Linked DNA regions of Cricetulus griseus. The protein of the gene in region 5 interacts with the protein of the main gene of each other region in a biochemical or structural test. Links are inferred from orthologs where the notes say so. Each region holds a gene or a part of one and is shown on either strand. Other genes may lie near its edges.

Evidence for each region.
Region 1: the proteins of Pdzk1 (region 5) and corticotropin-releasing factor receptor 1 form a complex in vitro, tested with the Homo sapiens proteins (2 studies listed by BioGRID and IntAct, with this or other methods). The link is inferred for Cricetulus griseus from reciprocal best matches to the Homo sapiens genes PDZK1 and CRHR1.
Region 2: the proteins of Pdzk1 (region 5) and Cysltr2 interact in a test that uses a peptide from one of them, tested with the Homo sapiens proteins (2 studies listed by IntAct, with this or other methods). The link is inferred for Cricetulus griseus from reciprocal best matches to the Homo sapiens genes PDZK1 and CYSLTR2.
Region 3: the proteins of Pdzk1 (region 5) and Rps6ka1 interact in a test that uses a peptide from one of them, tested with the Homo sapiens proteins (2 studies listed by BioGRID and IntAct). The link is inferred for Cricetulus griseus from reciprocal best matches to the Homo sapiens genes PDZK1 and RPS6KA1.
Region 4: the proteins of Pdzk1 (region 5) and Cftr form a complex in vitro, tested with the Homo sapiens proteins (2 studies listed by BioGRID and IntAct, with this or other methods). The link is inferred for Cricetulus griseus from reciprocal best matches to the Homo sapiens genes PDZK1 and CFTR.
Region 6: the proteins of Pdzk1 (region 5) and Slc22a12 form a complex in vitro, tested with the Homo sapiens proteins (2 studies listed by BioGRID and IntAct, with this or other methods). The link is inferred for Cricetulus griseus from reciprocal best matches to the Homo sapiens genes PDZK1 and SLC22A12.

Annotation. Positions count from the first base shown.
Region 1 is NC_048600.1:117,186,997-117,191,190, reverse strand, and holds the start of corticotropin-releasing factor receptor 1, read right to left. Parts: upstream 2,801-4,194; coding exon 2,777-2,800; intron 2,683-2,776; coding exon 2,595-2,682; intron 1-2,594.
Region 2 is NW_023276807.1:227,520,588-227,524,087, forward strand, and holds part of Cysltr2 (cysteinyl leukotriene receptor 2), read right to left. Parts: intron 2,959-3,500; 5' UTR 2,814-2,958; intron 682-2,813; 5' UTR 638-681; coding exon 1-637. UniProt on the Homo sapiens protein: Receptor for cysteinyl leukotrienes. The response is mediated via a G-protein that activates a phosphatidylinositol-calcium second messenger system.
Region 3 is NC_048595.1:19,428,253-19,431,364, reverse strand, and holds the end of Rps6ka1 (ribosomal protein S6 kinase alpha-1), read right to left. Parts: intron 1,867-3,112; coding exon 1,729-1,866; intron 1,404-1,728; coding exon 1,281-1,403; 3' UTR 501-1,280; downstream 1-500. UniProt on the Homo sapiens protein: Serine/threonine-protein kinase that acts downstream of ERK (MAPK1/ERK2 and MAPK3/ERK1) signaling and mediates mitogenic and stress-induced activation of the transcription factors CREB1, ETV1/ER81 and NR4A1/NUR77, regulates translation through RPS6 and EIF4B phosphorylation, and mediates cellular proliferation, survival, and differentiation by modulating mTOR signaling and repressing pro-apoptotic function of BAD and DAPK1.
Region 4 is NW_023276806.1:208,423,448-208,427,530, forward strand, and holds the start of Cftr (cystic fibrosis transmembrane conductance regulator), read right to left. Parts: upstream 2,801-4,083; coding exon 2,458-2,800; intron 2,363-2,457; coding exon 2,254-2,362; intron 1-2,253. UniProt on the Homo sapiens protein: Epithelial ion channel that plays an important role in the regulation of epithelial ion and water transport and fluid homeostasis. Mediates the transport of chloride ions across the cell membrane.
Region 5 is NW_023276806.1:59,644,402-59,648,647, reverse strand, and holds the start of Pdzk1 (Na(+)/H(+) exchange regulatory cofactor NHE-RF3), read left to right. Parts: upstream 1-1,446; coding exon 1,447-1,656; intron 1,657-2,736; coding exon 2,737-2,986; intron 2,987-4,246. UniProt on the Homo sapiens protein: A scaffold protein that connects plasma membrane proteins and regulatory components, regulating their surface expression in epithelial cells apical domains.
Region 6 is NC_048596.1:52,814,972-52,818,962, reverse strand, and holds the end of Slc22a12 (solute carrier family 22 member 12), read right to left. Parts: intron 3,271-3,991; coding exon 3,147-3,270; intron 2,999-3,146; coding exon 2,883-2,998; intron 2,359-2,882; coding exon 2,144-2,358; intron 1,703-2,143; coding exon 1,594-1,702; intron 1,374-1,593; coding exon 1,170-1,373; intron 565-1,169; coding exon 501-564; downstream 1-500. UniProt on the Homo sapiens protein: Electroneutral antiporter that translocates urate across the apical membrane of proximal tubular cells in exchange for monovalent organic or inorganic anions. Involved in renal reabsorption of urate and helps maintaining blood levels of uric acid.

The DNA.
Region 1 (4,194 bases), on a different chromosome or scaffold from region 5:
CGCAGATAACAGATAAGGGCCCTTTGAAGGGTGGCCCAGTTTCTGCTTGTGCACAGTTGGGCACTGGTTTCTTCTGTCAAGTTGGCCACACAATTCCCTCCCTATCAAGCTTAGTGCCCTAATGTGCGCAGAGGGCCCTCGTGCTGTAGGTAATGCTGGAAGGAAACTAGAACCATGCTCCTGTCCCAGTTAGGAGTGGTCTTCCATCACACGCTTCTGAGTGAACCACAGAGGGTGTGAGCACTTGGCAGCCCCCTTTCAGGTAGGAAGATCTGATCTACCTATCTGATTTGAGACTGGGGACACTCCTCCGAGGCTTCCTGGGGAGCAGGAAGGTGCTCTAGGGCAACCTCAAAGATGGGTACTCCTGCTAGGAGGAGAGTGCTCTGGGATGAAAGGGCAGTTGCTCTGTTTGGGTGACACGGCACAGACAGAGGCACGGGGCAGGCAGGCAGTCTTGGCACCTCGGGTTAAGCTGCCTCTTTAGCAGGGTGAAGAAAGGTGTCTCTGTAGAGTGTGGGCCACACGAAGAGAGAGGTAGAAGCCTGTGAGGCTTCCTGCCTTGTGCTCTGACCACTCCTGATGTTTGCACTCAATACCTTGTAGAAGTCCAGGCACATAGTAGGTGCTGAAGAAACCATAGGGCCATATACAAGTTTAGTGTGCTCAGGGAAAACTGCAGGGCTGACACTGCACCTCCAAGTGACACTGTGTCTCCAAGTAACATTGGGCCCTGGATATGACAGATCTCTTAAGTGACCACATAATGTATTAAATCTGAAATCAGGCTCAGTTGGCTCAACCCCTGTGGCCAGTGCTTGGCAACTGTGTGTGCTCAGTCCAAGTTACTCAACCTTTCTGAGTGTAAGGTTCCTTTTCTCTAAAGCGGGAACCAAAATCCTTGCTGAATCTATTGTGATGACCGGATGAGGCTGAGCACCTAGAATTGTGCCCAACATGAAGTGGACATCCACACGAATCAGCTGTTATTATTACGGTTTGTTGTTCATCGTTACCGCCTTAAGAACAGCGATGGGAACTAGTGACCCCACGTCCTCCTGAGCCCTGACTCCACTTATCTGGGGTGTTACTAGTCAGTAATTCTATTACTTTCTGGCACAGTCATACTCATGCCATGATTTTATAAGTTGCCAAGTCTATAATCTGTCACATGATGGGGGCCTTGGCCATGGGAACCTAGCCCCTCCTTACTTCTGGCATGAGGCATGTGCAAGGCCCCCAAAGGTTTCAGCACAGTGCCAGCCACTCGGGCCAGACGCCCATCCATCTGTCCCGGGCCCTCCACCCCACTCTCACCATCTGTCTCTGCCAATGCCCATCAGATGACAAATGGCCAGAGCGGAGGCCACTGTGGAAGGTGATGGATTGCATCCTATGGAGCCAGGCAGGCTGGGAGGGGGTGGGGCATCCAGCACAAATCACGGAAGAATGAACATCATCCCTCACAGCCTGCTGCCTCCAAGGACAGGTGACACCTGTGTGGCTCCAGGGTGTCACTTCTCTTGAATAGGAGCAAGTTAATGGAGCCTGACCTGGCCTGGGGTGGAGAGGAGGGACGGGGACCTTTCCTCCAGGCATCCTCCCTGCCTGTCCTTGGCTGCCACTGCTGATAGGCTGAGAGCAACGCACTCCCTGCTCAACCCAGCCAGTGGGTAGTCCAATGCTGGGACGGCCAGGGCCTTCTTCACCTTGGTGAGTCCTTCTGCCAACTTAGCCACTGGTGTTCAATCACTGACTGCTCTATCTCTAGGCTCACTTAAAAACCCCTCCTTCAGGAAGGCTTCTGGGATTTGCCCTACCCCTATCCTAGCCTCCCTGACACCCTCCGTTGTAGTAAGCAAGCAATCGTAGGGTGTACTTTCTCTTTCTCCTAGGTGCACAGTAAGTACTTTGAAAAAGCTACCCATGATTATACCCAGTAGCTGTCTGGATGTTACAGCTTATGAAACAAACCTGCAAAACTCAGTGCATTTAACCTCAGGATCCCCCTCCCTCAATTTGGGCAAAGCAAAGCCCAAAGAAGTCCAGGGCATCATCTTCCTGTGAGTACCAGTATTGGGAACTGAACCCGGGTCCTCTAGAAGAACGCGCAGTGCTCTTAACCACTGTGTTATCTCTCCAGCCCCTTACCTAGAATTTTCTATTGGGCAGGTATTGAGCATCACCAGGGAGCCAGACTGCCTTTGCAACCCAGGCTCTAGCACTTAGTGCTTGTCTGTGCCTCAGTTGCCTTTGGAGTCAGATGGGTGACAGGATCTCAAATCCCTGGTGCTAGCAGCATGTAGCCTTACTCTCCAGCATATTTAGCAACAGCAGCAGCCTTGGACCTTTTGCCAATATCCTCAGCAGTGAGGCCTGGAGGGCTTTCCCCTGTTGCCCCCTGGGATGGTGACCACAAGGCACCTTTGCTGAGTGTGTTTCCTGTGCCCACAGACGAGGCTCCTGGATAACTACAGGCCCCTTTACCCTCACTGACTCCAGTTCCAGAGATTTTTCTATACAGGTCGCTGCTCAGAGCTCTAGGGAAGGAGATCCTGTGGGAACCTGGGAGCTAAGGGGCAGGGATGACTCACCAGAGACATTGCTGGCCAGGGACAGGCTCTCACAGCGCTGGTCTTGCAGGGAGGTGGAGACAGGGTTCAGCCCCAGGAGGAGAAGGGCCTGTGGACACAAGGGGGTACAGGACACTGTTAGGGGGGTACTCATCAGTCTGAGCTGATGATTCTTGCCCCCCCTCCTCTGCCCAGCATCCTACCCTTGCCCAGTCTCCTGGTCCCATCCAGAATGTTTGAAATTGCCTGGTTCACGCAGGGCCTGGAATGGAGGCACAGACCCCAAACATGTCTAACGCGGTCGCTCCAAGTGCATGCACACACATTTGCACACAACCCTCCACCTTCCTTACCTCTGTGGTATTTCAGGCCCGTGGTTATGAGCTCCTCCTGAGCCTTCATCCCTGTCAATGACTACCAGTCATTGCAAATTGAGCCTCATGTTTCAAGCTCTTCCGATGTCCTGCGATATCTACAATGGCTTAATTCACCCCGGGGACAGCATGGATATGGCTACTGAAGATGGGGAAACTGAGGCGCTAAAGAAATGATTGTGTCTGGGAAGATGGGTCACCTATTCCAGGGAAGGCCTTTAACCCTACTGAGGGCCCAGTGTTACTCTGACTCCAGGGTTTCAGCCATGAGTCCTATGACCGGAAGACGATCCCTTCTTGAATGAACAGCCCCACCCCAACAATGATGAGCACTTTCTTGGGTTACTATCCTCTCTACAGGTGGGAGTCTGGATGAGTGGGCCATGTGACCTCTCCGGGCCTCAGTGTCCTTGCTCTAAAGCAAGTGCAGGCCTCCCCTGTGTCTGTGCTTACACTGTATTCATTCTGGCAATGAGGCTAATGAATGATGTTTTTGGGTACACAATGGGCGCTCAATGAGGATTTACATACTCAGTAGTTGTTAGCTGACCTAACTAGGGAGGTGGAGATGGGCTGGGGCCTCGTCTGTTGGGATTCATTCTGCAAATGGGGTCCAGAAGCATGTGGGGTGGGAGAGGGGAACTACGACAGGCTGTCTTTTCTCCACTGGGGACCTAACCACCGTGAGAAGAATCCCCAGGTAGGATGGCAACCCTGGGAGTGTTCTCCACATAGTCACCCCACTCTGCTCTCCTGTTCCCTCTTTAGGGGTCCTAGGATCAAGAGGATTATCAATAAGGACCACCACATCCAGCTTGAGAAGCAAATGGAGCCCTAGTTTTAATTTGACTGTGGATGGGCTAAGTCAGTCTCTCTCTCTCTCTCTCTCTCTCTCTCTCTCTGTGTGTGTGTGTGTGTGTGTGTGTGTGCATGTGTCCCCATCTGTCTATCTGTCCATCTGTCTGGCTCCCTTCAGGGGCCAGTCCCCCCAGCCTCACCAGTACTCACTTCCCCTTCTGTCATATATTGATGACAAAGGCAGGCTCTTCTGCCTTCTTTCCCACCATGCATTTGTATTCCTGACCACAGCCTGGACCCACTCCCATAAGAGCCATCCCTAATCCTGGTGACTTACAGAGCCACACTATACCCTTAAGTCCTTAGTGGGCTTTCATCCATTCCCCCACCTCAGGCACCCTCCCTCCATCTCACCCCAGGACTCTTACTGACACAAGTATGAAACTCAA
Region 2 (3,500 bases), on a different chromosome or scaffold from region 5:
ACAAGACCCGGATGATCAGGAGGTAGCAGATGGTGAGTGTGACAAATGGAAGCAGGAAGCCTGCCACTAATGCAATGTGGTTCATGATCAGTAGCTTACTAAACTTTTGGGGAGTCAGCTCCAGGCACAATATAATGTTGTCCTTCTTCTCATAGCCATTCTTCAGAAGCATCGCTGAGGAAGCCATGATAAAAATCCATATGACCCCACAGAGGATCCAGGCACTCCTGACGCTGGTGACATGGAGCTGTTGAAAAGGGTGGACAGTGGCCAGGAAACGCACAACACTCAGCACAGTTAAAAAATAAATGCTAGTGTACATGTTGACATATAAGGAATAAGACATGATTCTGCAGGCTAGATCCCCAAATATCCAATTGGACTCTCTGAAATAATAGTCCGCCCTGAAGGGCAGGGTGCTTATGAACAGGAAATCTGAAATGGCGAGGTTGAGCATGAAAACATTCACAGAGGTGGACTTCTTGTAAGTCTGTAGGAAGACATATATGGAAAAGCCATTTCCCAAGGCTCCCCAGACAAATATGATCAGATATATGATGGGATAAAATTCTTTCTTGAAGCTTTCTATTGTACAGTTCCTGTCACTATTATTGCTGAAGGCCCCAGTTGGTTCCATTTCTGATATGGAGTTGGACAGAGGCTAAGACATAAGTTTTCTCTCTATATTGGATTAGAAGAAATAAACACAAAAATTACTTTGTTCAATGCCACTTTTTTTTGATCATTGATTGAACGTTTGCAGCATTCATTCTCACTTGGAGAGAAGCAAGTTCCTCTGACACCCTCTTCTGACCTCTACAGGCATCAGGCATACTCATGGTGGACCTACCATCATGCAAAACATCCATGCCATAAAATAAAAACATAATTTTTTAAAAGAATAGACAAATAAAGTTCCCAAGCAGGAGGTGATATATGAAAAAGCAGCCTTAGAATATTAGAAAAAAAGGAAAGAGAATAATGAGCAAAAGAATGCAAGAACAGCATCTTCCCATCCCATTTTCAAATTCAAGTTATACTTGATCCTTGAAACGAAAACTGTAATACTGTCTGATATGGCTTTAAGTAAATGTAGAAGAGTAATTGACTAGTGTATCTGCATGAGGGGAAATAAAGATATATGAAGGGGGTTAATATTGTATACCCAATTTGAACTGACAAACTGTGCTGAGAGATTGTGATAAGAGTATTTGCATGATGTAATAGCATAAACTAAAAAAAACTATACAAAGATATATCCTAAAACATTAAAGATAAATTAAAATAAAATTTTTAAAGAGTTCAGGTATCAGGTAACCAATATGAAGGCAGTGAAAAGAAAACAAGTAATATAAACAGAAAAATCAGGGATTTATAACCCCAATATATTGAATATACACTAAATATCAATGGTCTAAACGAAAGACCTATCTAGATACTGCTCTCAAGAAACTCACCTCAGATAGCAATATTGACAGGTACAGAGAAAAAGGAAACAAAGGTAAGTTACTCAAATCAAACCAAATTAGAAATGGCTCTAGATTTAAGAGCAAAGAAAATTACCAGAAAACATAAAATAAAGGAATATTCTCTACTGATAAAATAACTTCTCTACTATGAAGACCCCCGAGTTCTAATGGGATGTACCAAGCAACAGAGCTATGATAAGTGAAGCAGAACTGACAGAATTGGGCGGCAAATCCACAGTTATATTAGTGACCTGAAGACAACCCCACAGGCACCGATAGAGAGTAAATAGGCAAACACACACAAACAAAACCACCAAGAAACTAAAAGCATCTACACCAACATGGAACTGGCATCAACACAACAGTTCATTCCACACGAGCAGCACATGCTGTCTTCTCAAGTCCCCACAGAACATACACATTGCCCCCACAATTGCCCTACCTACAGCCAAGTCTTGTCTTCTCCTTTGGGAACCAATGATTTTAACCAGGATCTTTGTGTGACCACTGGCTTGAAACAATCCATCAAAACCTGGTGGCTTCACAACTGAAGACAACAGGCTACCTCACCTCTAAAATCCATCAGTAGCCAGTTGTTTGGCAGAGAGAAGTAGGGCTATAAGACTCTGTAGAATCTGTGGCTGGCTATTGACAAACCCAGTCTCATATAGGCCCCATGCACCCATTCATAGCTACTGTGAGCTGGAGTTTCCAGTGGTTTTGTCATACCTAGAAGACAGTCATTTGTAGCCCTTCCCCCTCTCTTCCTACTCTCACATTGCCCCATCCCCTGTGTTCTCTCCACTCCCTAGCTCCCCTCTGAGCTTCAGGCCAATGCTCCAATATCCTATTTGGGGCTAAGTGCTCAGTTGTCACATAGTGTCAGCAGCTCAAATAGCCATGGATCCCTGCTTTTAATGCAAAGAGAAGCTTCTCTGAGTAATGATGAGGTTAGCATCTCTCTAGCTCAGGTGGCTGGTAGGGTAGTATATGTGTGCCAAACATTTTAAAAATACCAGCTATTTGAATATATGTACCCATCTAGATATATAAACATAAAGGCATATTATTAAAAGATCTGCTGTAGATCATTATATAAACAATGTACAGAACAAGTAAAGTTAGAATTTGGGTCTTTATGTAAAATAATTCTTATTTTTATACCCATGAGTAATTTTTGTCAATAAAAGTTATTTTTGTCTTCTTTAACATCCTTTTAAGTTGTTTTCAGAAAGATCCCTTGCTTTCCCAAAAATCAAAGTTAAGCTCCTAGCAACTATTGTTAATTGTGGTTGTACAATGTTGGCAATAATTATTTCTTGACTTTAGATAGGTAGGACTTACATCTTGTCTCTTGAACAACTACTCGACCCTTACTTTCCCAAATCCAGGCCCAAAAACTAGAATAAGAAGGCCATCATATGTCTTTTGGAGCTCAAAGTGTCTTCAGGTTGCTACAGGTGGCCTCTAACAGATGGTCTCCTTCATCCTAGGACAAGAAAGACAATGTGGTTAGTCAGATTTCTAAATATCCTTTGAATTTTAATGAACTTCAAACTAATATGAGCATCCTTTTGTCTATTCGGCTTAGTCATAAAAAGCTGATAAATAAAAATAAAAGTTGACTATGTTTAAGTAAAATATGTCAATAAAAATATATTCCAAGGGTTACACTTTTGTTTGGGTTTTAAAAAGTGGAGAAAGAGATTACAAGGCCCCATCCCCTAGCCAAGAGTTATTGGCAGTTGATGAGCTGGAGGAAGAGGGACTCAGTTTTTTTCTTAGGCTCCTCTAAGTTGCCCATTTCCAGTGGATGGCCTTGCATGCCTGTGCAGACAGCACTAACTGGACTTAATGGGCTGTAAAGAAAAAAAAAGATATGAACTTGAGAGGGAGATGAGGGGCTTCTGGGAGGAGCTGGGGAGGAGTGTGGAGGAAATATGATCAAAATACATTGTATATGTTAATAAAATCCTCTGAGAATAGATAATTAAAATTAAATACTAAAAAAATTGATAGAAGCATGTTTAT
Region 3 (3,112 bases), on a different chromosome or scaffold from region 5:
CTGTCCTAGAACTCACTCTGTAGACCAGGCTGGTCTTAAACTGACAGATCCTTCTGCCTCTGCCTCCCGAGTGCTGGGACTAAAGGTGTGCGTCACCACCACCCTGCAGCCTGACAGGGTTAAGATTAAGTGAGACGGGTGTATTTTAGGGACAGAGCACAGTGAGGGGCCGAGTTTAATTCCTAGGACCAGAGAGTACAGGTAGGAGGGAGGACAGTGGCAAAGTGCTTGTCTTGAGTGTATAAGGCCCTGGGGCTGGCCTCTCGCCACTAAGGGAAGAATACACACCTTAGGGCCAGCATTTGTCAATGGTTGCTAGTGTCATTACTGTTTATCCCTACTGTGGTGGGATCCTCTGACAGGAGCATACAAACAGAACCAGAGGGACTCTCACATGCTCCCCAAATGACCTGTGCTCCAAGCAGGTGGCTAAATTTTCCCTAGCCTATTTCCTGTCACTGCCAAAGTCCCCAAGCCACATAGAGAGTAAGAGCACACGCTCTGACTGGATTGTAAGTTTATTAGAAAGGCCTTGGACAGATGAACCCTGAGTTACCAGCTGAGGAGGAAATGAAAAAGCCCTCGTCCCCCGTGGCCCACTCCCCGGTGTCCTGTGAACTCTGTCCAGTGGCAGGCAGGAAGTCTGCCGAAAAGTGCTCTCTGCCTCCTCTCCACGGGGCTGTCCGATCCGACTGCAGGGGCCCATTGTGGATGGGCAATGTGGATGCTGGTGCCTGGAGCCAAGAGCTGACAGGGCGGCGTCCTTGGCTGTAGCAGAAAGTGGTTCTAGAACCCCAGAATAGAAGGAGAGGAGCCAGCTGGGGCCAAGCTCTGCGGAATAGCCAGTGGGTGACTGAGAGGTGACACTGGGCTGTTTGGAGGCGTGTGTAGATGGCTCCACAGCCAATAGAGGGGGCAGTGCTTAGGGGAGGGCCCCAAAGCTGACCAAGGGAACCTTGGCCACACAGTCTCCATGTGACTCGGTGCTCCTCCTGGGACTGCAATGGTTAGAAAGGCAAATGGATCTTGTAAAAATCCATGGTAGAAGATGCCATTCTTTTCCCCCTAAAAAAGAGTTTGTACAGTGAATGGACTTCTCACACGGAGCCCGAGCCCAGAAGAGTCCATCCTGGGGAAGAAGGCACTTCACACCCTCTCTTGGGTGATCTGGGCTGGCTACTTCCCGGGCCCTTTCAGACTCCACTTCACTTGGTCCTGTGACCCAGGTCTGCTCTCTCTGGGAAGGACTCTGCCTCCAAGGAGTTTGTCTGCACTGTGGCTCACAGGGTGGTGGACGGCAGCTTCCTCACCCGCCGCTGGGCGAGGATAGATGACTCGATTGGCTTCAGCTGGGGGGTGGGTTTGGAGCTATTGAGTGCAGAGTACGTAGCTGCCATGGCTCCCTGGGAAAGAGGGCAGGACAGCAAACCGTGAGGGAGGGGTGGACAGACAAAACACATGCACCCCAGGGTCTGGCCCACCTAGCCCACTGTTCCTAGCCTTGGTGGTGCCTCATGGCCACTGGTTTTCCCTGGGACACAAGAATATAATGACACTGTTGCATGTGAGTCTGGGATTCCTTGGGGGCAGGGCTATGCCTTTTGCCACATCTCCTGGTTTTGGGCCCATAGAACTGCTTGGCTCTGCCACTTCAAGTTTCTGCCACAACCCCCTGGTCTGAGGCCCACCCCACCCCTCACTTTGAGCAGCCCCCGTACGCATGGCCACCTTCACAAGCTGCAGGTCTTGGTGGGACAACTGGCTCTGGGGAAGCTTGTCTTTCTGGGTGATCCATGGGTGCTGCAGGACCTGCTTGGCTGTGAGGCGCTGGTGGGGGTCCACATGGAGCATCTTAGATACCAAGTCCTGGAGACACAGTGGGCAAGGAGGTGACGGGTGGGCACTGAGGGGGCCGGCAGCTTCGCCCCACCGAGTGCCTCACTGATGGCCAACGACCGGGAGACAATCGCGTCCAGCCACCTCTGGCCTGGGCCCCTCTAAAATTCCCTGAGATCCATTCTGCATACAACAAAGCCTTCCCCTAACCGTCCAGGGTCTTCCTTCCATCTTTGCTGCTGCAGGCATTTTGGAGGACATCTTTCTCTTCTTTCCCTTTCAGAAAAGCCACATGAAAAGGTGGCTAAAGACTTGTAGGTCAAAGAGACACAGGTGTAGCATGAGTTCTAATAGGTCATAATAAAAGCCTGGAGTCAGATATAGAGGAAAATACTGAGAAATCAGACAGGAGGAGGAGCAAGCCAGAGCCACCTCTACCTCACTCACTTCCCAGGGGAAAAGAGAGTTCCTGTTTCCTCCCACTTATATTCCTTTCTCTGCCCAGCCATCTCACTTCCTGTCTGTCTGTGTGAAGTCCAGACCTCAATGGTTAGCTAGTGGCAAGTTCCACCCTCTGATTTTCAGACACGTTTTATTTGAGCCATCAAGATATCACCATACACAGGTTCAAATTTGACTCTTCCTGGGGTGAAATGTAGCCGAGCGGTTGGGCGCTTGCCTGGCACCCACCAGGCGCTGAGTTCCATCTCCAGTGTGATGTAGAACAAAAACTAAGAGAAAAATCCATGAAAAAAACATGCCAGGTATTTTAATCCCAGCACCTGGGAGACAGAACCAGGGGGACCAAGAGTTCAATAGCAGCCTCGGCTACGTAGGCTTGAGGGCCAGCAAGGGCTGGGAAAGACCATCTTCAATGTAAAAGTCAAGCTCAGTGCTCACCACTCTCCCCGAGGCCTGGAGTTCAGTTCCCAGCACTTGGTAGGAGGCTCACAACAGATGCAAACCCAGCTCCAGGTGGCCCTGTGCCTTCTGGCCTCTGTGGGCACCTGGACTCACTCACATGCACATTCCCACACACATATAATTAAAAATAAAAATAAGGCTGGGGGTGGTGGTGCACAACTTTAATCCCAGTAGTGGGGAGGCAGAGGCCATATCTGGATGAGTTTAATGCCAGCCTGGCCCACAGACCTAGTTGTAGGATAGCCTAGACTATGCAGTGAGACCAAACAAACCAAACCAAACTCTGAAAGTTACAGACCCTCAAACAAATAAAAATCCTAAACTCAGCTCTTCTACTCACCAGCCTGAGTAT
Region 4 (4,083 bases), about 150 Mb from region 5:
TTCCGTGAAAGTCACAAAATACTTGAAATTTTCATGGTAAAATTGTCTTCTGTGTTAGAATACTTCCAATGACTTCCAAACTTTTCCTTCCTGTAAACACTTGCAAAAATATATTTTTATTAAGCTTGTTTTGGTTTTAGTGATATAACCTAGATAATTAAACTGATACTTAATATAATTCATAACCCAGACCCTAATATTGGAAACATGGCCTTCAGGTTTTTTTAGTCTTTTATACCCTAAAACTGATGGGATAGTACTCAGAAACTCAAACTCTAAGGCATCTATGGAGATCTGAGCATATGGATTTCCCCTAAATATCTAGTAAGTCCATATTAGATGAGACTATCCCTTACATTAATTTCTCAAATATATAATACACATACACATCACATAAAAAAAGGTTGATAGTCAAAAATTATAACCAACAGAAATAAACTCATTGTCTTACATAAAATGTAGAAAATAACCATAGCAGCTAGCATTTCCTCAGTAAGCCCAGGACATAACTACTCAGCAGATTAACCCACTATGTCATATGCACATTGACAGCCTCTAAGTTTTAAAAGTCAGGTCACACAGAAATGTGAAAGGACTTGCCCATTAAGCAATCCTGAAACCAGGCAATAGGAACCCAGAGCCCACTGTCCTCGACACTAGGCAGAAATGCCTAGTCCAATGGGAAAAAAAGGGTTTTCATCTTTGAAAAGGATAGTTCAGAAAGAAGTTTCTAATCACTGACTGGTACTGTAGCTGAATGTCAGAGCCTATAAATAGTAAGAACTTAACTCTTAAAAACACACCTATTCTTAAAGCAACTGATTATGAAATCGTTTGAAGGACAGAAATGAGTATGTGCTTAACAAATTTCACAGCCATTATAATATTTTTCCTTTCCAAATCAACCTAAGAGCATTTGGAAGGTACACTAAAATAAATGAGCTGTATAATAAGAGGGGAGATTTTTGAAACACTGATAAATGAACAATCTAAGTTTCTTAATACTTTAGTGGGGAAAATACACAAGAGACATTCTCATGAGAACGTGAGGCACTGACATGTAGGTTCCTCAAAATGATCTCATAAAAGTGTGCAGTTTATGACAATTAACACTCTGTTGCTGTGAGTAGTAGGAAAATAGATCCCGGCTGATAAGCTGAATTTATGGATGAAGTAACAAAAGCACTGTGAATACCAAAGGTAACTCCAAAGGGTAAAGACCTTGTCTCCCATCCACTGGGAGGAGCTCTCCCACAGAGGCACTTGTCCTCTTAGTCCTGAGCTCTAGACCCACCGGCGGCGGCAAAGGCAAGAAGACTGAAAGCTGAGCTTTGCCTCCTGCCCACACCACAGGGCACATTTACAATCTATGCAACACTCTGGTCCTTTAGTTTGCTAAAGTTTAGATTCCCTGAGGAGCTGTGAGTCAAGTGAGCTCCCATGAGAGAGCTGTTCTTTTCGTTCATCCACACTAGAGGAACAGAATAGCCGCGCCATAGAGCATGTCAAATACAAAGTGCTTAATTAGTCTTGCCTAGGTCTCCCAACTTAAAATCTAATTTTAAAATCCTTTTCTATTGAGGTTTTGGCTCATGCTGTGCAATGCAGGATAAGAGAACAATGTCCCAAGTGTCAGTTGGATATAGCTTCAGTAGCTAGAACCCCAGCTTCATATCCCATGGTTACTGCTTTCCTAAATTCTTTGCTTTTGATATTTCTGCTGCTTAAAGATAAATATTTTAACTGACTTGCTCACATTCTTAAAAAGTAATGTAACTATGGTTACATTACTTTTTGGTGAGCATGTCAGACTTAATATTACAATAGCAAAAAGTACTATATACTTCCTCAAAAAAATTCAGTCAGCAAATGTTTTCTGAACACCTACTACATACAGGTATGACACCTGCAGACAAGCTTCCTGGGGAAAAACAATGAACCAACCTTAAGGATTTTTAATTAAGAAAATCTTACAAATTTTTCAGGAAAAAAAATTAAGAAAACTGTTGCCCTGCAAATATTTAGGTGTTGCAAGTCTGATTCTCAGTTGCAAGTACATTTTGTTCTCCATCTAATCAGCTTCAATTTATTCTATAAAATCCACATTTCCTTTAAAACAATGAATGACAACACACCTTTAAAAACAAAACGAAAACAACAAAAAAATCTCTTCCTGTTTTCCCAAAGACTGCCCATATGCATTCCCTTCTTTGGCATGGGCACACCTGCAAAGATCCCCTGGCACCCTCTCACCTGAAAAAGAGTTTGGAGATAAAGCTGGCTTTCTCCAAAGGCGACTTCTGCATGATGTCTCCGTGGTGCACTGAGGTCTGTGTCTGGACACGTTCAGGTTGGACTCGACCTCTGAATATCCAGGACCCAGTCAATGTTTTTAGCGATTCCCCTTTTGTCGGACCTGCGGTGATGTCATTTGCTTCCAATTCCCCCCTAACCAACTGGGTCCCACACGCCTCCCCTTCTCTCTGCCTTCCTCCCCCGCCTCCGTAGCCCAGGTTAAAAGCCAGCACTGCCTAGCCCAGCCCCAGTCCCTGCTCTCCACGCCCCAAGCCCGCCCCGTGCGCTCCTTCCTCCTGCGCGCCTTGCATGCCGCCCGCGCCTCCTTCTCCTGGCGCTCACTCCCCGCGCCCTCCAGCGCCCCCCCCACATCCCTACCTTCTGGCAGCAGCAATATCAGTGACGGCTCAGGCACCAGGTCCGGGGAAACCAAGGCCAATCTGCGGGAGCTAATATGCTTCTTATGTGTGACCAAGGACCACTGACTGACCTCCTTGGCTTCCATGAGCCTTTCTTCTCCCTCTTCCCAGTCTTCTATTTCTCTCTCTCCTCCTTCTTCACTTTCTCCTCCATCTCTTTCTTCTCTTCCTCCTTTATCTCTTTCTTTTTCTTCTCTTTTTCCTTCTTCTCTTCCCCCTCCTCTGCTACCTTCATCTTCTCCTCTTTTTCCTCCTTTTCCTTCTCTCCCTCTTCCTCCTGTCTCTGTAGCTTTTGGCCGAGTTACAGTTAACTTTTCAAGATTCATTTTGAAGAGGAGATGAAAACGTGGCTCCTCGGAATCAAAGTACAGATGCAGAAAGGTGCAAAGTCCCACAGTAGTCCGAGGTGTCCCACCTCAGCAAGCCCTTCAAGAGCTGGACAAGACCTAGCTCTGTTGACTGAAGTCTCTAGGGTAGCCATAGAGTCACAGACATCTATGAGGTACATGAATGTCATAGGCATATGTCACAATTCCTTGATATGTCATAATTACAGCAAAAGCCCTACCAAGGAATGGGGAGCAACTGCTTCCCCTAGGAGGCATGTGTGTCAGACACATGTATCACAATGCCTCCGATGTGCCATAATTATAGACAAAGTCCTTGAGGACAAAGGGAGCTATTGCTTTACCTATTTCCCACTCAGGATGTGTTCAGTGTGTGTTGTAGTGTTTTGTGTTTCTGAAGGCTTTTATGTGTGTGTGCTACAGAAATGACAAGTGGACTGTCTAAACTAAATGACTGTCCTTTAGATTTCCTTGTCTGCTAAGCAAAATATCTGACAGGAACCCAAAGTCACTGAAGCAAAGGTATCCTATTCACCAAGAGCTCACTGAGAGAAATGCCTATGTCTTTAGCTCTCTGGGGGCTTTGAGAGTTTTCCAGGCTATGTGCCTTCCCCTTCCAAGCTTTTGGTGTGAGAATTTTGTGTCCAACATGAAAATGTGGTGGGTTTTAAAGGGCCAACACTTAAATACCTGAACCCTATTTAGCCAAAGCAAGTAAAATAGAGTTTGAATTATTTTTCCTTTTATTAAAAATAGAATTTTCTTTTTAGCCAAGCAGTGGCGGCACTGATCTCTGAGTTCGAGGTCAGCCTGGTCTCAGAGCAAGTTCCAGGACAATCATGGCTCAAGAAACCCAAAACCAAACAAACAAAAACAAAAACAAAACAAAAAAAGACAAGAAAATAGTTTTTTTTTTTTTTTTTTACCCCCAGACATTATATCCTGATTACTGTTTTCCCTCCATCTACTACTCCTACTTTCTCTCCACATGCCCTTCTCTCTGGATCCACTCCATTTCTGTC
Region 5 (4,246 bases):
CTCTAGTGGCCCAACAGGAGGGGCAGGAAGGGAGGGGACAGAAGAGGCCTTGGGAGGGAGAGCCCTTAACCTGCCACTCGAGTCTTTTCTTGGGCATCCTTACTTTACTCTGACTAGAAACTTCTGGATCAGTTATGGCCATTTTCCTTCTTCCTATCTCACTTATTATTTCAGTTTCATATGTAGATGTTATGTATTTTGATCATATCTCCTGGTTACCCTCTAGTCCTCTTCTGCTGAACCCCTACTTTCCAAACCCCTTTTCACTTATTTTTGTTGTATGCTCCACTGCATTTACCTAGTTTGCTTGCACAAGCCAGGGGTGCCCCTGTCTTTTCATTGCATTACCAATACACGAGCTAGCTCTGAGGGCTAGCTTTGTCCCTCCCTCCCTCCCTCCCTCCTTCCCTCCCTCCAGTTGTTCGAAGCCTGCCTTGCCCTGTCCTGCCTCACCTGACTCCACTAGCCCTGTACTTCTTGGAAAGTCATTTCTCCAGGGAGCTAGTCTTATTTCTCCCCAGCCCATCCCTTCTTTCCAAAGACCTCATTGTGTCATCCTATGTCTCCCAGTTCTTCCACAGCACGGCATATCACATTTTGTTTTAAAAATGTAATTATGAAAAAGATATCTTCCTAGTGATTAGCTCCTCTTATTCTCAGGTTTATCCTCAACATCTAGAATCAGAAAGGCTCATCAGATATTTGAGTGAAAGTGTGCTTCTTGGAGGTGGGTACAGCCAGAGCACATGTGTGAGAATGTCTCAATGAAACTCCTGGGGGCCAGGAAGACAGTATTTACTGTGCAAGCTTGGAGGACAGGAGTTTGGATCCCCATAAACCCTGTAAAAGGCTGGAGATAGTGGTGTGTGTCTGCAGTCCTCATGCTGGAGAGGCAGAGATGGAGGACTGCTGGACCTGCTTGCCAGCTACTTTATCAGATCTGTGAATTTGAGATCTCTATGAGAGAATCTGTCTCATTAATAAGATGGTGAAGGATTGAGAAACACACCTGACACCACCTCTGATTTCCACACACACACACACACACACACCCACACACCCACACACCCACACACCCACACACCCACACACCCACACACCCACACACCCACACACCCACACACCCACACACACACACCACCACCACCACCATCACCACCAATAATAAAAACCCAGCACATGCACAAACGAAGCCTATTATTTTGCATGGTAATTAAAAGAAGATAGATATGGCGTCTTAAACTTTCTGGACCATGTGTTTTTAGACATAACCTCTTAGGACAAGGAACAAGGATGAATTTGGTTGGAGCTACTGAAGTTAAAGCATCTGTGTTAAGTACTCATTTGAACACGAGGGTTTGAAAAGCAAGTATGGAGACTCAGGGTTTCAACGTCCAACTAGATTTCCTTGCCTGTGGATTTATCCATTTGTTTTTCATCACAGAAATGGCCTCCACCTTCAATCCCAGAGAGTGTAAATTGTCCAAACAAGAGGGGCAGAACTATGGCTTCTTCCTGCGCATTGAGAAGGACACTGATGGCCACCTGGTCCGGGTGATTGAGAAGGGGAGTCCAGCGGAGAAGGCAGGACTCCTGGATGGGGACAGAGTTCTCAGGATCAATGGTGTCTTTGTCGACAAGGAAGAGCATGCACAGGTGAATAGACACTTGGGTTCTTCCAGCCACCTCTTCAGCCTCCACATCTCTGCCCACTCTGATTTTGGGGATCAGTGGAGCTTGGTTCTCTTCTGGCTACCACTGGCAAGGTTCTATCACATTTTATGGTGACTAGTCTAATTGCTTATGATTAACTGAGAACTGTAAAACCTATTATGTGACTCAGTGGGCAAAGGTGCTTATTACCAAGCCTGATGAGCTGAGTTCAATCCCTGGGACCTGCATGTTGGAAGGAGAGAACTGATTTCCACAAGTGTCCTTGTTCATGAGCCATGGCCTATGCCCTGTTATAAAAGCAATCAATTAAAAAATGCTATACTGTGGTAGTGTCAGGTCAAACGTTCATTGCCCATTTGCCCACGCTAGACAATTTTATCTGAGTAAGCTGTAGCCCTCAGCACAAGCCTGTGAGGCATGTGTGACCGCACAGATGAGGCAGCCATGTGTAGGTGACTTAGCTTGTTAACTGTCATGTGGTGACCGCATGGGAGAGGTAGGCCTTGCCTCACTTCAGCATTGTTCCCCTTTCACTACACCACGCCACCACCCCCTAGACCTGAGAAGCCCTGTTGTCCTCTCTCAAGCTCCTTAACGCTGCGACCCTTTAACACAGTTTCTCGTGTTGTGGTGACCCATACCATAAAATTATTTTTGTTGCTACTTCATAGCTGTAATTTTGCTACTGTATGAATTGTAAATATTTGATATGCAGGGTATCTGACACATGAGCTCTATGAAAAAACTGGGTCGTTCAATCCACCAAGGGGTCATGACCCATAGGTTGAGGACCACGGCTCTAGCGCATTCGTATCTGGGAAAGACCAATCCTTGTCAGGGCTTTCTGGATTCCCACAGTGCTGGGGCCCAGTCTGATCCTCCCTGATATATTGGGAGTGTTGGGGTGAAGGTGTCCAGTACCCCTCTGCTTAGGGTATGGGTGTTGGGTCAGCTGCCAGGCACATGACAAACATCTTCCTCCTACGGTTGATGGGGGCGGGGTGGTGTGGGGGGGAGGTTAACAGGACAAGGTATCCTTTAAACACTCCCCTTTCTTCAAAGGTGGTGGATCTGGTGAGAAAGAGTGGGAATTCAGTGACTCTGCTGGTTCTGGATGGAAAATCCTATGAGAAGGCTGTAAGAAAACAGGTAGACTTGAACAACTTGGGTCAAAGCCAGAAGGAACCGGCTTCAAATGATAAGAAACCAAGCCCTTTGATGAACGGAGCTGTGGAGACGTGCGCCCAGCCACGGCTCTGCTACCTGGTGAAGGAGGGCAACAGCTTCGGCTTCTCTCTGAAAACCATCCAAGGTGAGCTTAGGGTGGGCTGAGCTCTAGCCTTCCAGAAGCCCTGTGTTGGTAACGACAGTCTTTGCAGTTGCTATGAATGTCCACAGCAATGTCACTCTCTCTTCCTTTGTCTTCAGCACGGATCCTTTCTCTGCAGTTGTACAAAGAGAGATCCAACTTTGGACAGCAGCGAGGGCTGAGTGGGGGGACTCTTTCCCTAGTGTTTGTCAGGCTGCTGTTTGAGGCCAGTGGTTCAAGGACGGATGCCTCTTCATTGTTTTGTTTGACTTGTTTTTTCTTTCTTTTTTAATTTCTTAATTTATGTTTTACATTCCAATCCCAGTTTCCCCTCCCACCTGTCCTCCTGTTCCCTCCACTTCCCCCACACCACCTCCCATCTGCACCTCGGAGAAGGGTAAGGCCTCCCCTAGGAAGTCTACTGAGATTGTTCATCATCTCGTTGAGGGAGGATCCAGGCACCTCCCCCAACCTCTGTGTCTAGGTTGAGCAAGGTACCTCTCCATATAGAATGGGCCTCACTAAGTTATTTTGTACATTAGAGTTAGATCTTGGCCCCACTGCCAGTGGCCTCATTTATTGCCCCAGCTGCACCATTGTCACCTATGTTAAGGGAGTCTAGTTCGGTCTTATGCAGCTTCCCCATTTGTCAGACCAGAGATTGTGATCTTTCGCTAGCTCGGGTCAGCTGATTCTGTGGGTTTCCCCACCATGGTCTTGACTCCTTTGTTCATATTATCACTCTTCCCTCACTTTCATTGTACTCCAGGAGCTTGGCCCAATGGTTAGTTGTGGATTTCTGTATCTGTTTCCATCTGTATCTGTAGAAGAAGGTTCTAGCTTCTCTGGGGTTGTGGGTTGTAGGCTGGTTATCTTTATGTCTGGTATCTGTTTATGAGTATGTAAATACTATATCTGTATTTCTGGGTCTGGGTTACCTCACTCAGGGTTTTTTTTCTAGTTCTGTCCATTTGCCTGCAAATTTTAGGATGCCATTGTTTCTTATCCTGAGTAATACTCCATTGTATAAATGTACATTTTCTTTATCCATTCTTCAGTTGAGGGGCAACTAGGTTGTTTCCAAGTTCTGGCTATTATGAATAATGTTACTGTGAACAAAGTTGTGTAAATGTCCTTGTGGTGTGAGTGTGCTTCCTTTGGGTATATGCCCAAAAGTGGTATTGCAGGGTCTTGAGGAAGGTTGATTCCTAATTTCCTGAGAAATCTCCATACTGATTTCCATAGTGGCTATACAAGTTTGCA
Region 6 (3,991 bases), on a different chromosome or scaffold from region 5:
CTCATCCCCTCCTCTTCTTCCTCCTCCCCTTCTTCCTGCTCTCTCTTCCTCCTCCTCCTATTCTCTCTTCCTCCTCCTATTCTCTCTTCCTCCTCCTCCTATTCCCTCTCCCTCTTTCCTTCTCCTTCTATTCCTTTTTCCTTTCTCCTTTTCATTCTCCTTTTCTCTCTCTCTCTCCCTCCCTCCCTCCCTCTCTCTCTCTCTGTCTCTCTCTCTCTCTCTCTCTCTCTCTCTCTCTGTCTCTTTTATAAATTATTTATTTGTGTGTGTCATGGGGGGGGGACTTGTGTCCATGTGGAGGTCTGGGGACGGCTTTGTGGAGTCAGTTCTCTCCTTCCATCATGTGGGTTTCAGGACTGGAATTCGTATGATCAGGCTTGGAGGCAGGCGCCTTTACCCGCCATTGCCAGCTCTACCCTTCCCCTTCTCTCTCCCTCTCTTTCTTCTCCTCCTCCATCATGGCCCTTCTTCTCCAGTCTTATCATAGACTCTCCAGGAGGCTACAGCCGTGTAGAAATCAGGATGGACTGGCCTGCTGTGTCACCTGTCACCTTCTTCACTGATCTGTTCAGGAAAAACAGAGAAGTGTGACTCTAAGGAATAGAGTGACCCCTGATCCTTGACCCATGTCCATGCTGAGAACTGAACATCCTGCCTGGGGCTCAAGTCTGAGATCACTGAGCATATCAAGATGGGATGGGTGTTGATAACCTTGTCAACCACCTGATGGCTTTAGTGGCGGGGTCTCCTGCCTGTGAAGACCCCAGCAACACCCACCACACCCCAGGACCTCTCCCCGACAAAGGCCAGCTTGCTCACAAGCACTCTGTCTCTCCTCCGACCTCTCTCCCTGCCTCTTTCAAGGTAGACCTGTCAATGGCTGGGTTACTCATTCCTCCACATGGTGGGATGAAGGGAAGAGGGTTAGAATTTGCCTGTTCATCTGGGTCTCCACTCTCCCAGTATGCTGTGTAACTCTGGGCTATCCTGGGCCTTCCCTGGCTTTTGCTTTTCCCTTTGTTCAGTGAGAGGAGTCAGTTCCTAAGCCACCCTGTTTTGGGGCTTCTATGGGAGGGAGGGAGGGAAGGAGAGAGAGAGGGAAGGAGGGAGGGAGGGAGGGAGAAGGGAAGGGAGGGAGGGAGAGGGGGTTTGCAGGCTGGTCCACTCACTGTTTCTGGATGTCTTGAATGGTGTCAGGCAGTGGCAAGTTCCTGGTCTCAGGTAGCAGCAGTGCAGCCAGGCCACTTAGCACAGACACCACTCCATACACCAGCAGGGGCAGCCAGGAGCCATAGATGCCTAGCAATGGCACCAGAGGCCCTATGATGGCTCCCCCTCTGGTTGCTATCTGGCACAGGCCCACTGCTGTCATCCTGTGGAGGCACATTTGCCTGTCAGTCAAACTCTGTCTGCCTTGGACCTTGACCTCTGGTCTGGCCCAACTCCCTAGGCCAGGGATGCCCAGTGGACCAGGCAGGGTGGAGGCTTAATTCGAAAGCCCTGAGACCATGTGGAAGGGAAACCCATGGGGATCTGGGGGCAGCTTTCCCCTCTAGCTACAGTACTCTCTCCTTGAGCCCATGACAGCCTCACCTGAGCACAGTGGGGAAGAGTTCACTGCTGAAGATGGTGGCACAGGTGAAGGCAGCCCCCAGTGACCCCAGCCCCATCACAGCCAGGGATGAACGAAGAACCTCTATCTCTGTGAACAGTGACAGCATCAGCAGAGGCTGGCATCCTATATTCCCTGCGCTGCTCCTGTCCTATAGGCTGGTCTGTCAAATGTCTGAATCATCCCTCCAGTGTCCACACTGTGTCCCCAATCTACCCACCTTCCAGCCCTTTAGAGCCTTACCCCAGGAGTCTTCCTTGCCTCCCTTTCTCTCCCAACCTAATCTATTACTGAGTTCTGTGTTAGCATAATGGCTTTCCTGATCTCCCCTAAAATCCTACCATCCTATCACTGCTCTATTCCTGGCCATTCTCCTCCACACCCCCAACAGCCTCTTTCCTAAGTGTCCTCTGTTGTGGTCCCTCACTCTCTATCTTAGTTCTACACTCCCCAGCCCAGGGGAGAAGCACCTCAGCTCCCACACCACATTTTTGCCTCCTCTGGCTCACCCGAAGCCTAGCTGCAGCTCACCGTGGGGCACCAGTATGTTGGCCAGGATGCAGAGTCCTGACAGCACCAGGGAGCTGGCCTGGCAGAGACGTCGGCCCAGGTATTTGAGCAGCAGCAGGCTGACTACCTTCACTGGGAAGTCCACAACCCCGATGAGCGCTTGGAGCAGGAAGATATTGCTTCCTAGGGCATGCAGGTTGAGGGCCAGGCCATAGAAGGTGAAGCCAAAGGAAAACCTGGGAGAATGGGTGAATCAGCCTGGGGTGGCTGTTCTTCTGCCTGCCCTGTGGGCCTTTCCCAGGCCCACTTTAGGCACTTCTCTTTCAGCTCGGCACTCCGTTTAGGGTGCTGTCTCATTGGCTCTAGATTCTACTGAACAGTCCCTCCCTACAGTCTTTGTGGATTTGATCTTTGCTGGGTGGCCTAGGCTTCCAAGTTGGAGCAATAGCCCATCTATGCCTGGTGCCTCTAAATGAGATGGAGCAGCCTGCCTGTCTGCTTCGTGTCTGATTCACCTCTCCAGCTTTTCCAGCATCGCCATCATACTTATCTTACTCACTCAATCTCCTCTGGGTGTTCAGGCCTATAATCCTTGCTCACCAGCCCACTCAGCCTTGCTTGTCTCATCTGGGAGCCTGACTATAGATAGCAAGGTCCCTGAGATAAAGGTCATCCTAGAGATACCTCTAGCTAGTGGCCCCATCCCTGGCCTAACTTCAGACTTTCCTACAGTTGGTAGCCTGGGTAGAAGGGCATCTACCAGCACAGCATGGAGATGACGGTTCGGAGGCGCAGCCCAGGTGTATGGAGTAGGGTGCCCACACCGGCATGAGCTTGGTTCCCACTTAGTTCCTCCTCCATGGCTGACCGCAAGACCTGTGGGAGTGGGGGCTGTTAGCACCTGTTACCCACAGGCCCTCCTTTAGGAGCCCTCCTTCAAGAGCCAGGGCCCTCACTTGACCTCCAAGGGGGAAGATCTGAGGGATAGGGGACAGAGTTGAGGGAAGGCCCAGCTCTGCCTTACTTCCATGGTCAATGTGTCTCCCTCTGCCTTCTTCCTGTTGATAGCAGCTACCCTCTGTAGTTCCTTCAGGCCTTGGTCCACCTTGCCCACTGTGAGAAGCCAGCGTGCTGATTCTGGAAGCCACCTGAAGTGGATGGGTGGGTGAGGGGGCTGCTGATTGTGAACCCCCATTGTATAACCCTCCCTGTCCTCTGTCTAAGGGGGTGGCTTCAGTGGAATGGTAAGCTTCAGTCTCAGAGTAGCTGAGGTCAATGGAGGCTGTAAAGGACAATGTGGTAGCTGTGGCATGTATAGCCAGGCCACCTAGATCACTACCTGTACCAGAAAGCTGGTGGCCTCCCTGTCTCCTTCCTCTGTGAGTTTGGGGACCTCCTGTTCTGTAGCCCCTGAGAAGGCTGCTGGATTGGGAGGGACTCTGTTGCCCTTCCTACCATTTTGTCCCATGGCCCCTCCTCAGCCTCACCCGTGAACCAGGCCTGGATGCAATAAGGACTCCAGTGGTTACAGAATTACAAGGCTACCAGGGTGCCTCACCATCACGGCATCTTTCCACGTCACACACATTCCCTCCTGCCTCCTCCCCCAGCTGTATTGCCTTCCTGCTCAAACAGCTTCACCACTCCCTGCCCAGTGTCTCCAACATCACCAAGCCCCTCCTGTCAGCCCCTCTGTTAGCCACTGATCCCTGGGCCCTTTGACCCCATTGTACCTGACTTCTCCTGGCCCTGTCTCAGCCAATTCTGAGTCAGGATATGGCTGCTCAATACCAACTTGCTTCTCACTGTCTCGGCATCAAACACAGGTCGCCCTCTCCCTCACCAAACACAGTGCTCGCCTCCATGCTC